Linked DNA regions of Danio rerio. The protein of the gene in region 4 purifies or fractionates together with the protein of the main gene of each other region. This does not show direct contact. Links are inferred from orthologs where the notes say so. Each region holds a gene or a part of one and is shown on either strand. Other genes may lie near its edges. The genes, in order: u2surp, phf5a, prpf19 and snrpa1.

Region 1 (3,570 bases), on a different chromosome or scaffold from region 4:
ATTGTTGATTGATTTCGTTAGGGTTGATTTCGTTAGTTTAAAAATATATATTAAAATGACCCCAACATTAGGCCTGTCACGATATTTATTTTTTATTGTATGATAAGATTGCGATAAACATTATTGTCATTTTAAGACCATTTAAAGCCACTGATTATAAAATGCCAGAATACCAATATAATAGCATCATAAAGCAAGTACACTCTTTCAAAGAATACATAATATTTTATTTTCAAGAATATTTCATTTCATTATGGGGTATATGCCGAGCTAGTGTGTTTCCCATACTGATAAACCTCTGGTGACCTGTTATTGTAAGTTTTTTTTTTTCCATTTTATACGGTTTCTTTTACAGCATCAATGTTGTAACGTAATTCAAATATAATCCGTTAAACAGACTTCGGCATTCATTTGGTTTCTCAAGCATAAAACAAGGCAAAAAGCCGTTTACTCGCACATGCCCGTCAGAATCGGCAGGCTAATGCAGAAGCTCCATTAAAATTAATGGGGTAAAATAAATGCTCATATTATAAAGTTCTGGTGGGAAAAATGTAATTTAATGCAGTGCTTCTTGTACAATCTGAGACCCACTTTATATCTGATATCCCTCAGCCAGTGATTTGATATTTGTCACTGATTTTTAAAGAAAATAAACCTTAAATGTGCCGAGTCTGCATTGGCATACAATTCACCGGAAACGATTAACCCAGGTTACTGGCAAATTAAAAGTCCTATTAGCATGCTTCGGCATATACCATATTGTCGTTTTAACAATTATGAGGCACTGGCATCAGAATGTGCAATCGTAATATCCTAAACTAAAAAAAAGTTAATAAAATAAAAGCGCAAGGTAGAAAGTAACAGGCTGTGAGATCTGCTACCATATCTATTTTCACTTGTGGGACACCCACACGAAAATATAATATAGTCATTTATATTAAATAAAATACTACAGTGATTTCTTTATCCATACTGACACTGTTGAGATAGAGAGGCTGTGCAGCTAAAATGTTGCTAGAATAGTTTTTTATATTGCAAATGTTGAAATCACCAAAAATGATTGAGGTCATGCCCATGTGTTGTGCGATAAGTCGATATATTGATCATTGTGACAGGTCTACCCATAATTAAATGGGGGGGGGGGGAAAAAGAGCTATTTTAATATTTTCATGAAGGCTTTACATACAGACTTCAAAGTAGGATACAAAGATAATCTTAAGGGTCAATTTTGACCAACCAGATATAAAACCATTTATACACCACCACACTCCAGCACACACAAATAATCTGCTGTTTTGACCTTTATGAATACTGTCTTGCTAAAACCTTTGCATGAATATGCAGGTACATTTAACAATCGAAAATATAAACTACTTTACTTTAAATAATGAAAGGTGCCCACTGATTAAATAGTGATGAAATACTGCACATTAATGAGGGAAAATCTTATTCACAGTTTTTATTCACACAAACAGTTTGTGATTTCTTCATGCAAAATGAATTTGGGGATTAAAATGACATTTCTGGTGTTTTATTTTAGAGGTTTAGTGAAGGAAGGTCATGTTTGATTCTTTGACAAATGGAAGATCCAGACCACAAGATTAGATCAATCATGTAGAAACAGTGGCACAGACCACAGTCCAATTTTTGCTGTGATTTTTTGATGCTAACTCTCTTCTGACATGTCATTCCCTCCAGAATCACTCAAATCAGGCTCACCTGTAGAGTGGATTGTTGATTTCTCTGTTCATGATCATAGCTTCAAACATAGGGCCCTCACGCACCACAAACTCGATCATTCGGTGGATGAGAGAGAGCAAATTCCTACGAGAAAAACACAGTTAAAGCGAAACAGATTCAGCGCCATCACCAGCCACACCTAAACCACTACTATATATGACATTTGATGAAATGCAACATTCTTGCACTTACTATGAGCCATAAAGATGTTTGAGCTTTTAAGATTTAAAACTGACTGCCAGTTATGACAGCTTGTAACAATCAAATCATTTAAATCCTCTCTATATACACACACATGTGAGTCTCAGCCATAGCATTCTGCCCTCATAAGTTAAAACTGATTGTGCTACTAACTGTGAGGCCGAGTGTTAAGTGAACTTTCTTGCTTTTTTTCACAATAGACAAGTGTGAATGGAAAGGGACAAAATCATGTAAGCTCTTCTAGTTAAGGGATGGGGACAACAACTGGCTTCCTGACTGGCTCGTGAAGTGGCCGATAAAAATCAACAGATGATGTTTTTCAAAATGTACTGAAACACAGATCACAAGTATTGGAGCCGATCATACCAATGTCAGGCAATCATTCTGTATACTTTCCCCAATCCATCCTGTGACGCTTTTCTGGTCCCTCGCTGCTGCAGACAGTTCAACTTGTGCTGCTCACCAAGGCCAATGTCAAAGGTCACTTAGACTATGGGGATCAGGCGTCGCTTTTGTGCCCTGCTACTAGGGCAGCTGAAGTGAGCAATAGCCAGAGGACTGGATTTTGTGTAACTGACACTAGATGATTGTGTAGTGTTTAGCTTCTACGTTAGGAGTGGTGTAATGCATCAGATCTGATGTAGTGTGGTCAATAAAAACTCTCTTGGAAACTAGTGTGGAACAATCTGTAAAGCATGCTGTAACATTGACATCTAAAATAATTCCTTGTAAAAGTAGAATTTGGTACTATAGAAAAATAAAACCTCAAAAGTTTATGTAACATTTCACCTAATCAAAGCAGAAAACTATTGTGTAATCTTAAAATCTTCATGAAAACTAATACCAGCATTGATTTAAAATAAAATCTTTTCAAATAAGAAGTCTTAAGGCTGACTTATACTTTCGCCTGGCGTTGAGATTCTCCACTGAATGAGCGTGCACCTCACAAAACGGATGAGGCTTTTATACTTAACGCATTCGCTGATGAGATATTTTTTAAAATGACAGAGGCAAGGAAACCCTCCGAAAAACCAGACAGATGAATAGAAGAGTAATAAGTTTCCTGAACTATGTCATATTTTTAATATAATTCAACTTCTTTAACTATTTTTTATCAATCATTTTAATGATTATAAAGATTTTTATAACCGTTCAAAATTTCTACCAATTTAAGTTTATTAAAATAATAAACAACATAACATAGGTTGCTTTTTTATTATGGCAATAATAAAAGCAAAAAAAGCATACTTACTAAAAAAATACTGAGGGTTTTTTAGATTTAGCCCACTCCACAATTCACACATTACTGTCTGGCTAGGTTGTGTCCTCTACTTACATGCTAAAAGCCAATAATGGCCCAACATTCCTGACCATTAAAAACAAAGCCCCAAAAATAGAACATCAGTATATTATAAACCGATAGGTTCAATTGGCCATCTGGTTACCCCTATTATCAGGCATGGATGGATAATAAAGATGTCTGTACAGGTGTACCTGTTTCAGACAAAATCTCTTCAAAGCGATTTATATTAAACTCAAAATAATAGCAGCGCCACGCGAACTGTTCACTCAAGTCACCATACGCATTTAAGCAAACTAACCGATGCGTAGAGTATAAACCAGGCTTTT
Region 2 (4,317 bases), on a different chromosome or scaffold from region 4:
ACACACACACACAGAGAGAGAGAGAGAGAGAGAGAGAGAGATAAAAAATAAATCTTGCAGACATTAGGAATAAAATATTCATAGATAAATTATTTATTGATCGCCTTATTTTAAATACAAAACGTTTTCTTGGAATGGAAGAGTCTATTTTGACTAAATTTTTTGGACTGTTTAATGATATAAAATTGACTCAGAATTTACTACTGAAAGAATATTTCAGTTCATTATTGTATTAAATCCGAAAAGAAGCAAGTAAACATACAACACATGAACAATATAGAAACACACACACGCACACACACACACACACAAATATATATATATATATATATATATATATATATATATAGAGAGAGAGAGAGAGAGAGAGAGAGAGAGAGAGAGAGAGAGAGAGAGAGACATAGATTTACATACACACACACACACACAGTTGAAGTCAGAATTATTAGCCCCCTTTTGATTTTTTTTTTTACTTTTTTAAATATTTCCCAAATGATGTTTAACAGAGCAAGGACATTTTCACAGTATGTTACTGATAATATTTTTTCTTCTGGAGTAAGTCTTATTTGTTTTATTTCGGCTGGAATAAAAGCTAATTTTAATTTTTTTAAAAACATTTTGGGACAAAATTATAAGATTTTTATAAAAAATATAAATAATTATAAATTATACATTATAAATAAATTATAAATATATATTTTTCAATAGTCTACAGAACAAACCATCACTATACAATAACTTACCTAATTACTCTAACCTGCATAGTTAACCTAATTAACCTAGTTAAGCCTTTAAATGTTACTTTAAGCTGTATAGAAGTGTCTCGAAAAATATCTAGTAAAATATTATTTACTGTCATCATTGCAAAGATAAAATAAATCAGTTTTCAGAAATGAGTTATTAAAACTATTCTGTTTAGAAATGTGTTGAAACAATCTTCCCTCCATGGTTTAATAATATTATTCTTACTCAAATTATAGTTATGATTATACCTAGCACACACATGCTACTATTATTATTGAATAGTTTTAGATATAATCTATTATTTATTCTACATTACTGTATAGACTTTGTGCTCCTATATAAATGTCATAATATTCATTACTTTTTATAAACTGTTTTTGTTCACTCAAAAAACTGTAAGAAAAATGAGAATTCCAGCACTATTTTTGATAAAAGAGACACATTTATTTACATCTCTGTTTATACCATAAAATGACACATTTGAGCTTTCTGACTCCTACGTAACTGGAGTTTTTTTACATCATAAAATTGTAATCCGTTAATAAATATTAGCGTTATTGTATTTTATATTTATATTTATACTTGAAATCAGCAGCTCCTCCGGTTATCAGTCTATAAACATTAGGCAAAGAGCATAGAATCTGACTGAATCTGGTGATTGTAAGCTCTTTGCATTAGGTGGCAGTAGGTTGCTGCGCATCTTTTAGACCAAAATATCCGAAGAAGGAAGTTCGGAGGTCAGCGCTGCGTCGACGCTTGCTAGCTTGTTCTCTGCGCTCACTCTTTTATAATGGCAAAACATCACCCAGATTTGATCTTTTGCAGAAAACAGGCTGGAGTTGGTAAGTCTCGTTTTTCATTAGACCTTAAATAATTTCTTTGTTTAATGATCCAACTTGTAGCAAACAATGAGTGAGAATTTACACTCGCGCTACATCAGATGGATGAACAATAAGGTTTCAATCTAAGTGGAGACGGTTCATTTAATCGTGTAACTTTAGTAAGCAGATAAAATAGCAGCCTTACAAAGTCCTCGTATACGATGCTAGTTAGTCAGATATTTGATTGGAAAAATAACGACGTTTAAGTGTTTGTGCGAGCCCATGCAAACGTGCTTTTGTCGTTTGTTTACAGCGTCCTCAGTCGTTGGAGGGCGGAATTGTCATGCAGGCTTTCAGATACTTATAAAGAGAAAGAGATAAAACTTCACTTTACTGACCATCAAGTGGTTACAAAGCTTTGAAGTTTTCTGTTTAGGTCAAACTATGTTTTCGTAGCGTGTTGGGAAATACAATTAAAACAAATGCAGGGTTTCACACAATCCATGTTGTCCCATCTCATATCGCTGAAGTTAACAAAGTGGATTGAACAAAAAACAGTTGTCTTTCACTGGACAACATGACAAAATACCGAGGACCAACATAAAATGTATACAGTTATTTGCATGTTAGTGTCAGACTTTACATTTACAGCCTGAATTGAAGTACTGAAAGATTATTTAGCAGTTTCTTTCCTTGGTATTTATAAAGTCTCAATATTACCTTTACGTCATTTGTTTTGCAACTTTTACGGTTTAAATATGCACGAGTTCATCAATTATACGTCTGTTTAACCTGATTTGACCTTTATTTCTTTTGCAGCCATTGGAAGACTTTGCGAAAAATGTAAGTTTTACTAATTTTCTTTTCATGAACAGTTATCAGTAATTTATTGTTTTAAACCCACAAGGAATTTGTTAATCTTTGTAACACAGCGAGTGATATCACAGAGTTTATCCGCTTCATTAAAGGGATAGTTCACCCAAAAATGAAAATTCTGTCATCATTTACTCAGCCTTTGCTTATTTCAAAAAGCAAATTTTGTTTGAATTTTTTTTTTTTTTCAAACATATTAGATATTTTGAAGAAATCTGTAACCATTGACTTCCATAGTATTTGTTTTTCTACTTTTAAAGTAAATAGTTTCAGTTTTCATCTTTGTTTAAAATATCTCCTTTAGTGTTCAACAGAAGAAAAGAGGCAAGTAAATAGTGAGTAATTTTTCATTTTTGGCTGAACTATTCCTATAACAATGTAAAGAGATCAAAAAAGGATGACAGAATTATTGTTTTGAGGGGGTCATACTGTTATGATTTTATGCTCTTTAACACAAATGTGTATTTTCTTTTCCAGGTGATGGCAAATGTGTGATCTGCGACTCTTATGTCAGACCTTGCACACTGGTTCGTATTTGCGATGAATGCAACTATGGCTCTTACCAAGGACGCTGCGTGATCTGTGGAGGTCCTGGAGTGTCTGATGCCTATTACTGCAAAGAGTGCACCATACAGGAGAAAGACGTGAGTATATCTGCTCTACATTTGCCCAAATTAGTTTTTGACTAAACTGAGAGAGGGCTGGAATAAATATTCCATTCGTCAGTAGTTTGAGTAAACTTCAAACTTCATTATGTGGTTTTAGATGTTTGCATTGTGTTATGTTACTTATTAAAAGGTTGAATTCTCAGTTCAAAAATCCAAATGATTAGAGGTGGGGAACTTTAAGGTCTTCAGCATCCGATTACAATTATAGGAGTTACGATCCCAATCCAAAACATACATTGTTTATTTTTTCGGAAATACATCGATAACAGTGTAATATAATATTAATAATGACTTATATAATAACTGCACACTATGAATCATATAATAAGCATTAGAAAATAGTTAATTCATTCATCATTTAAGGATTAACTCTGCATTATTAAACAATAGTAAGCAGTTAGGCTTACACAATTTTTAGCCTATAATTGAGTCTATTTATTTAACTATTTACTTGTGTAAATGTGTTTTAAATATATATTATTTCAATAATATTATTGACAAATATGCAAATGTTTATGATTTATGTACAATGCAGATAGTAAATTAATAGTTTCTGTCGTTTAGTGGATGTATGCTATGAGAAATTTGCTTTGTTTACTAAACAAGTGGATCTAATTGGATTTGCAAACCTTAAAATAAAAGTACAAAGGGTATTTTTTGATGAATTATGTATTTAATTACTAAATCAATTATATTTCTAAAATTATATTTATAATTTGATTTATATACAATACACATATAATGGCTTAATGATTGTATTTTCAAAATTTGTTAAAAAAAATAAATTCAGTTACAAAATTAAGTGTGGCATTGTTTAACACAATTTAAGATTTAAGTTTTTAGATCAATTTTAATGAGCAAGTAAATTACTAAACTATTTAGACATCTTATTTGTCAGGCATATAGCTACTCTTGTTAATAAATGTTTATTATTAAATCTCTACTGCAATTCAGTAGTAATTTAAGGACGCACTAAACAAAAGCTTGGAATCTCAATCCTTTAAAAATACAATTACAGTGGAATACTGCTTATGTGTGGCTATAGAAAAAAAACATGATGCATCTCAATTAGCATTTAACCATCCTAATCAGTATTAAAAATTGAATTGGTGTATCCCAAATCATAATATGCTAAAATGAGTACTCCCAAAAGTTTGTCAAGTGCAGATCTGTGTACGCTTTACTGCCCAAAACACATCGTGTGTTGGATG
Region 3 (3,570 bases), on a different chromosome or scaffold from region 4:
TACCAGTGCCGAAAATCAGACCATCAGGATGGAACTGTGCACAGGTTAAAGCTGAAAGAATGAGGCAGAAATGCTTTTTAAATGAAGAGACAAATTAACACTAGACCTACCAGTACTACTTGGCCATAGCTGTCCTTTTGGCTGTTTTGTACCAAACTGAATTTTTTTTTTTTTACATTTTAAGATTTTATTATCAAATTTTTAATGTTTTTCCTTATACTTTATGAAGTCATTACCCTAAAAATACTATCTTTTTTTTTTTTGTAACATGGCTTATAATCATGTACAAAATGCCTGTATTAAATATGTTGAGTGAAATATTTTGAAGTAAATCATTACATTTCATTTTTATCCTAACTTGACAAATTCTAAAAGAGAGCTTGTTTCAGTTTCCACACTTATAAAAATAGCATTCAAAAAACACTTATTCAAAATCTGACACAGTGCAGCTAAAATAATAAAACATACCACATCCAGCAGTCTCATCAGTGACTTTGGTCAGGACACGTCCAGTTTGGATATCGGAGAAGGCCCAGTACTACAAAACAAACATTTAAAAATGTAACTACACAGAATAAAAATGTAACTACACAGAGACTTCCCTTCCATAAAAATAACAAAGCATGTTCTTTTTACATGGGAAGTGAAACGGAAAACCACAACAACAGTTTCCACTCGTTCTGGGGAAATTTTATTTATTTTTAAATAAAATGTCAATTTTTAAAAAATCATGATTTGACAAATGGTTGTTTCTGCTAAAGTAGTCTTTGACAATGCTTTTATCCAGTAAGTGTAGCATACTGCTAATGTTGTAAATTATGCTTGATTCACATTTTATTGCAAAGCTACAAAAATTTTCTTAATTGTCTTTAAAATCATATTTCCCTCAAATATAGTCTTAAATTGGCCCAAATCTTCAAAAGCGTCAGCACTTGTGGCCAACAAAAACAAACAAGACAAGAATTATGGCAAAGACAAAATTCTGTTATTTTAAATTTTTTTAAGATTTTAGTAAATAATGCATGTAGAGGTTTAAATAATGTAACCTTGAAAAGTGTAACTATGGAAATGTACACACAGAGGCCGCATCAAAAACACTACATACACTGCACAAACTTCTTACACTCTAAGAGAAAGTGGCCATCGTTTGCTGATTCTCATTTGAAAGGTGTGAAGTGGCTTTCACAATGGATGTGGAAAGCAATGTGCTATGAACTCAATTTATTTCACTAGCTCATGGCATGCCAGGGCGGTTAGTGGCTATGCCAACAAAACACATCATCTGACACGCATCTCAGTTAAAGCAACTACATTTAAAAAAAAAAACAAAGTCAAAAAAGTAAATTTTTTGCTCTGTATTACCTGCAATATGAGAAACAATGCTATAAAAAAAACATAGCATTTTTTTATATAAATAGAAAGTAAAATTTCAAACAACTTGCATCACACAAGAAATATATAACTTCAACATCTGGAATAGACCATTTAAATTTAGTGACATTACAAAAAAAGGTTTAGGTATAGGGTTGGAGTAGGGTGATAGAAAATACAGTTTGCGCAGTGTAAAAATAAGGGAAACCTATAAAATGTCCCCTTAATTCACAAAAACAATTGTGTGTGTGTGTGTTACCTGGTCCTCAGATGAGCTCAGTAAATAGTCCCCAGTAGCGTGCAGAGAGAGGCCAGTAACAGCAGACTCATGGGCCCTGACCACTTGCACACAGTTGCCTCCAGTAACGGACCACACTCTAATAGTGCTGTCTGAAGATGCTGAGAACACCACCGCCTGACAAAGAGCACAAGAGGAGAGACATGAGAGCTAAATACAAACCAGGAACCATTTTATATATTCAAAACAAGAGCAATGGCATACCTGAGCAGGGTGGTAGATGACAGATGAGACCTTTTTGGTGTGTCCTTTGAGGGTGGCAACAATCTGCTCCTCACGACGGTCAAACACCACCACGTTCTTATCCGCACCACCTGGAAAGCGTAGCAAACTGAGGTTTTAATTTGAGAGAACCATGTGGTAGCTCTCCTTGTTTACATCTTAATTTTAGATTAGTTATTTCTACTTCAGCAAAACAGTCACAATTAATCCAACAAAAAGGAAGGAGCTGCAAAAAAAGAAACAAAAAAGGGCAACAGTATTTTTCCTTGCATGATCAATCATTTGTGACCAAGAGGGTGCAGATGACACATGCAAGAATTGTGTTAGGGGATGCTTATGGTTTGGAAACATAAATGTGTGCTTTCTAGTGTTGTTATGATGCTGACATGTTTAAAACCTCAATTTCCAACTAACATTTGAGTGTTGTTAAGTACATGCTCAACAGAGCTCAAATGTTTGCGGGGAAATGGACATTTTTAAAATTTCTGTACCAATTGGTCCTGCAATTCAGTATCGTGACAACACAAGTGCTTTCTACCAGCATTTTATGTAACATCCCAAAAGGGGGACTTACAAAGGATATATTATACACAGTTCATCAAAATAGTAAGTAACATCACAAAATTCTAAGAATCAGGACACATTCAAAACACTCATCTGACAAACTACTAATGGAAATTATACCGGTGAGGACTTTGTTGGTGTCTGTTGGGCAGAGATCCAGAGAGAGGATTCCTGGTACACTGGCACTGTGAAGACCCTGTTGAAAAGAGCAAAACAACTGATTTGATGTAATGTTTCAAATAAAATTGTACAGCGATCTAAACTAAATCAAAGGAAAGACTAACTCACAACACTTTACATAGAATAGGCATGGGAGGATAATGGTTTTACCACAGGTATACCACAGTTTGGAAAAGTCTTTAGTTTTAAAACCAGCTAAAAATTTCTGCTATACCATTCCTTTGGTATATGTAACATTTTTTTTAAGACAACAGTATCTCTAGCAGAAAAGATCCAAAGATCCCATTTTAAATCGTAAAGAAATCTGTGTTTTTAAACTAAATAAAGACATCTGAAGTCAATGATTTATTTGAATTACTTAGCCTGACATGTTTACTGTTCCAGAATATTTTAAATCTTTCTTTACATAAAATATATTGTGTTCAAAGGGGGGAAAAGTTTTAGTTTTTTACCCAGATATTAAAAAAATACAATTTAGAGGAGTAATCATAATACTGTGAAGGTTATCATACCATCAGAATCTTATACCAGCCCAAGCCTAAGACAGAAACTCCATTTGTCAAACTTTGAGGTGGAAATTGTTGATTTTTATCTTAATTTCTAAACAGAGAATAATTTTTTTTTAAAAGTTTAAATTCAACAGAGTTTAAAGTTAGCATGCTTCTCAGCTAACAATATGACATGGTAATAACTATAAAAGTGTGTATTAGTTTTATTAAGATTTTACAATTAAGATTAAGATATAAGTCGATATTTACACAATGTGATTCAGACGTCATTTTCTTCCCAATAGCTGTGCCTTCAAAGATGCTGTCACAGAATTTGATCAAAACAGGATTTCTAGAACAATTTTATGCTTACTTGGCAATTTTTTTTTACCAGGACATATGGAAAGAGAGAATTTTGAATTTATTGCCATATCAGCTTTTATGGCT
Region 4 (4,062 bases):
CGGCGACTTTCCACATGGGAGTCGGTTGCTCTAACAAAGTGGCTAAAGGCCATGGCCCCTAGCGGCCATTGCTAGAGCACCTTTAGTGGTCAGAGGAGTGAGGTTTACCTGCACAGCACTAGCTGGCCTCCGTTACACAAACAGCATGCTAGCTCATACTAGAAACATGCTAGCAATCTGCTATTTTATAATATACATGGAAACATGTTAGTTAACATGCTTCATACTAAATTATGCTATAACATGCTTATTTATAAAAACATGCTAATAAGCTAAGTTTATCTATCTATCTATCTATCTATCTATCTATCTATCTATCTGTCTGTCTGTCTGTCTATCTGTCTTTCTGTCTGTCTGTCTCTCTGTCTGTCTGTCTGTCTATCTGTCTATCTGTCTATCTGTTTGTATATCTATCTATCTATCTATCTATCTATCTATCTATCTATCTATCTATCTATCTATCTATCTGTCTATCTGTCTATCTATCTATCTATCTATCTATCTATCTATCTATCTATCTATCTATCTATCTATCTATCTATCTATCTGTCTGTCTGTCTGTCTGTCTGTCTGTCTGTCTGTCTGTCTCTCTCTGTCTGTCTGTCTGTCTGTCTATCTGTCTGTATATCTGTCTGTCTGTCTATCTATCTATCTATCTATCTATCTATCTATCTATCTATCTATCTATCTATCTATCTATCTATCTATCTATCTATCTATCTATCTATCTATCTATCTGTCTGTCTGTCTGTCTGTCTGTCTGTCTGTCTGTCTGTCTGTCTGTCTGTCTGTCTGTCTGTCTATCTCTATCTATCTATCTATCTATCTATCTATCTATCTATCTATCTATCTATCTATCTATCTATCTATCTATCTGTCTGTCTGTCTGTCTGTCTGTCTGTCTGTCTGTCTGTCTATCTATCTATCTATCTATCTATCTATCTATCTATCTATCTATCTATCTATCTATCTATCTGTCTGTCTATTTATCAAAACATATGGTATTATTTGCTTAAATCCTTGTGCTTTATGAAAATACAACGATTTTTAAAAAGGTAACATATGCAAAATCTTGGCGGGACGGCTTTATTTTTCAATCCACACTTCCTCCTCCGTCCCGGTAGGCGGCGGAAATCGCTTCTCCAGTCCGCCTGGTGTCGCTGTAACCGCTCAACAAGCGCGGTGTTTTGTTTTTTGTCTCGAGAAGAACTAAACAGATACTTCCGTTTGGCGGCAGCGTGTACGAATGTTACACGTTCACAATAAACTTTTGACCAAACACAGTTTTCTCCGCTTAGACTAGTTTCTCTTGTTTTTCTTTGGTCTCTGCGGCGGACATGGTGAAGCTGACGGCGGAGTTGATCGAGCAGGCGGCGCAGTACACGAACCCTGTGCGGGACAGAGAGCTGGATCTGCGCGGTGAGTTAAAACACAACATTATCACAAAACAAATGCAGTCTGAGGGGTATAGTTGTGCTAATTATAGCTGCATAACATTAATAAAAGTCTAAACGTGCGATATATTGATTCATATAACCTAATATATAATATGTCCTAATAATTCTGGAGGGCTGACTTCAAATGGATAACTGTGTGTGTGTGTGTGTGTGTGTGTATGTATATATATATATATATATATATGTATATATATCTATCTATATATATATATATATATATATATATATATATATATGGTTACACTCTCAGTAATGATTAAATCACACTGAACTGAGCTAAATTGAACTGAACTGAACTTAAACACTAAAAACTGAACTACACTGTTCCAGTTACTATGACCATGTATGTGAAGCTGCTTTGACACAATCTACATTGTAAAAGCGCTATACAAACAAAGCTGAATTGAATTGAACTATATGGTTAAACTTTGAAGTGAATATAAATCTCATTTGTCTGTTTTGCAGGCTATAAAATCCCTGTGCTAGAGAATCTGGGCGCCACTCTGGATCAGTTTGATACCATCGATCTGTCGGATAATGAGGTCAGAAAACTGGATGGGTTTCCGCTGCTGAAGAGACTCAAAACGCTGCTGGTGAACAACAACAGAATCTGGTGAGAGAAGCAGACTGATGTGTTCATATATTGTCTGGTATAAAACAATACCACGCTACTCTGCAGTGAGTATTTCTTGTGAACTGTTACGTGTTTATGATGTTAAATAATAAAAGGGATGATACGTAACAATCAGTGAGTCTATTGATGCTGGGTGAATGAGGAGAAGACGCATATGCTTGATAAGTGAAACAAAAAAGTATTTATTAATGGATAATTTCAAACAATGAATGTAAGATAGAAGATAAATGTAATTTTTAAATAATTGAATCAACTAAAGAAAAATAGGAGTGTTGCCAAAACAAAGAAATAAATATAACAAAATAAACTAACTAAACCCCAACCCACTAAACTGACTGAACAAAGAAAAATGTAGAAACAAAACCGTAATCTTCAGCACGTAGCTTAACTAAACTTCTTAACTTCCGTACACATGTGGCAACGCCTCCAAAAACTAACTAATACAAAATTTTACTAAGCTGCTCGAAATGCTATTATTCTCGTAAAGTACACACTGTTAGCCATTAGCAAAACAAGATCTCAGGTAATCCAATTCTCATACAGATTGTTCAAAATCTCACTAAACATTCACAAGAGCAGCACAAGTTTAACTGATAAATCAGGATAAACGGAGAAAACTAGAAAATAGCACTCGCAAACAAATCAAGCGGATCAATCAAACAAACAGTCCGGCCGACACAAGTGAGGAGATTGGCAGGCCAAGCGCTCCTCCAGAACAGCGCAAGCGCACCGGTTTTATACTGCACGTGACGAAGGTGAATGACAGCTCACCCGACCAATGGTAGCACACCTGAAACAGGATAGGACCACAACGAGAGAGAGAGAGAGAGAGAGAGGAGCGCAGAGCAGAAAGCAACAAAAATACTACAAAACATACGTGAAACGTAACATGAACACACATTAAAGAGGCACATTAGCTTACTCTTTGATATTGCACACCGTTAATTCACCTTTACACTGTGTCGTAACAACACTTAGAAAATAATAGTTATAAAGTAATACTTTATTCACTTTCCATCAGCTTAGTCCTTTATTTATTAGCAGTCGCCACAACGAAATGAACCGCCAACTATTCCAGCATATGTTTTGCGCAGCGGATGCCCTTCCTGCTGCAACCCAGTACTTGGAAATACCCATACACACTCCTACACTATGGCCAGTTTAGTTTATTCAATTCACCAATAGCGCATGTGTTTGGACTGTGGGGGAAACTGGAGCACCCGGAGGAAACCCACGCAAACGTAGAGAGAACATGCCAATTGGCCCAGCCGGGACTGTGACCAGTGGCTTTCTACCTGTGAGGTGACTGTGCTAACCATTGAGCCACTGTGCCACCTCATAGAGTATTAATAGTTATTAAATAATAATAATATGTATAATTAAATTAATAATAGAAAAGAGTTTCTGTTTCTGCAACCTTGTGGCAAAACAACATAAACTACTGTGACAATGATCACCTCAGGTAAAGATTGTGTTGGCTGCGTTTATCAGCACTATTTTTTCCATTTTCTGAAAGTCTTGATAAGACAGTCATTGGGTGTTTTAATATTTAATGAAATAGTAGGGTTGCAACAACGAATCGATAAAAATCGATTTCTAAAAGCGTTGGCAACGAACTTCATAATCGATTTGTTATGTCGTAATGACACAGGGATTTTGATTATTAAAACCAGTGAATTTACGTGCTGAATCCTGCATGTTCTACTTTTGAGGCAAACGCTCGGCCGCAAGTAAACATGGCTACACCAATCTCACGTTACAGATCACGATCACTTACACGTTTATGTAAATTGGAATATCAGGTAGTTGAGGACATGATGAGCAAGCGTGTGAATATGTTGAATTAAAATGGAAAAATACTAAATAAAAGGGAATACATCTGTCATACGGCACTATTGTGGCTGAGGTGTGTCACATGACGAACATGACGCGTCGCCACGTAAACACTAAGGGTGAATGATCGGCTAAAAA

The links.
Region 1: the proteins of snrpa1 (region 4) and u2surp purify together in Homo sapiens (affinity purification with mass spectrometry; 5 studies listed by BioGRID and IntAct, with this or other methods). This does not show direct contact. The link is inferred for Danio rerio from reciprocal best matches to the Homo sapiens genes SNRPA1 and U2SURP.
Region 2: the proteins of snrpa1 (region 4) and phf5a purify together in Homo sapiens (affinity purification with mass spectrometry; 4 studies listed by BioGRID and IntAct, with this or other methods). This does not show direct contact. The link is inferred for Danio rerio from reciprocal best matches to the Homo sapiens genes SNRPA1 and PHF5A.
Region 3: the proteins of snrpa1 (region 4) and prpf19 fractionate together in Homo sapiens (co-fractionation; 3 studies listed by BioGRID). This does not show direct contact. The link is inferred for Danio rerio from reciprocal best matches to the Homo sapiens genes SNRPA1 and PRPF19.

The regions. Positions count from the first base shown.
Region 1 is NC_133177.1:29,971,813-29,975,382, forward strand, and holds part of u2surp (U2 snRNP-associated SURP motif-containing protein), read right to left. Parts: intron 1,825-3,570; coding exon 1,720-1,824; intron 1-1,719.
Region 2 is NC_133187.1:20,791,625-20,795,941, forward strand, and holds the start of phf5a (PHD finger-like domain-containing protein 5A), read left to right. Parts: upstream 1-1,472; 5' UTR 1,473-1,534; coding exon 1,535-1,586; intron 1,587-2,384; coding exon 2,385-2,408; intron 2,409-2,915; coding exon 2,916-3,082; intron 3,083-4,317.
Region 3 is NC_133189.1:18,668,854-18,672,423, reverse strand, and holds part of prpf19 (pre-mRNA-processing factor 19), read right to left. Parts: intron 2,652-3,570; coding exon 2,576-2,651; intron 1,984-2,575; coding exon 1,874-1,983; intron 1,787-1,873; coding exon 1,631-1,786; intron 539-1,630; coding exon 469-538; intron 52-468; coding exon 1-51. UniProt on the Homo sapiens protein: Ubiquitin-protein ligase which is a core component of several complexes mainly involved pre-mRNA splicing and DNA repair. Required for pre-mRNA splicing as component of the spliceosome.
Region 4 is NC_133182.1:9,121,821-9,125,882, forward strand, and holds the start of snrpa1 (U2 small nuclear ribonucleoprotein A'), read left to right. Parts: upstream 1-1,200; 5' UTR 1,201-1,337; coding exon 1,338-1,419; intron 1,420-1,922; coding exon 1,923-2,070; intron 2,071-4,062. UniProt on the Homo sapiens protein: Involved in pre-mRNA splicing as component of the spliceosome. Associated with sn-RNP U2, where it contributes to the binding of stem loop IV of U2 snRNA.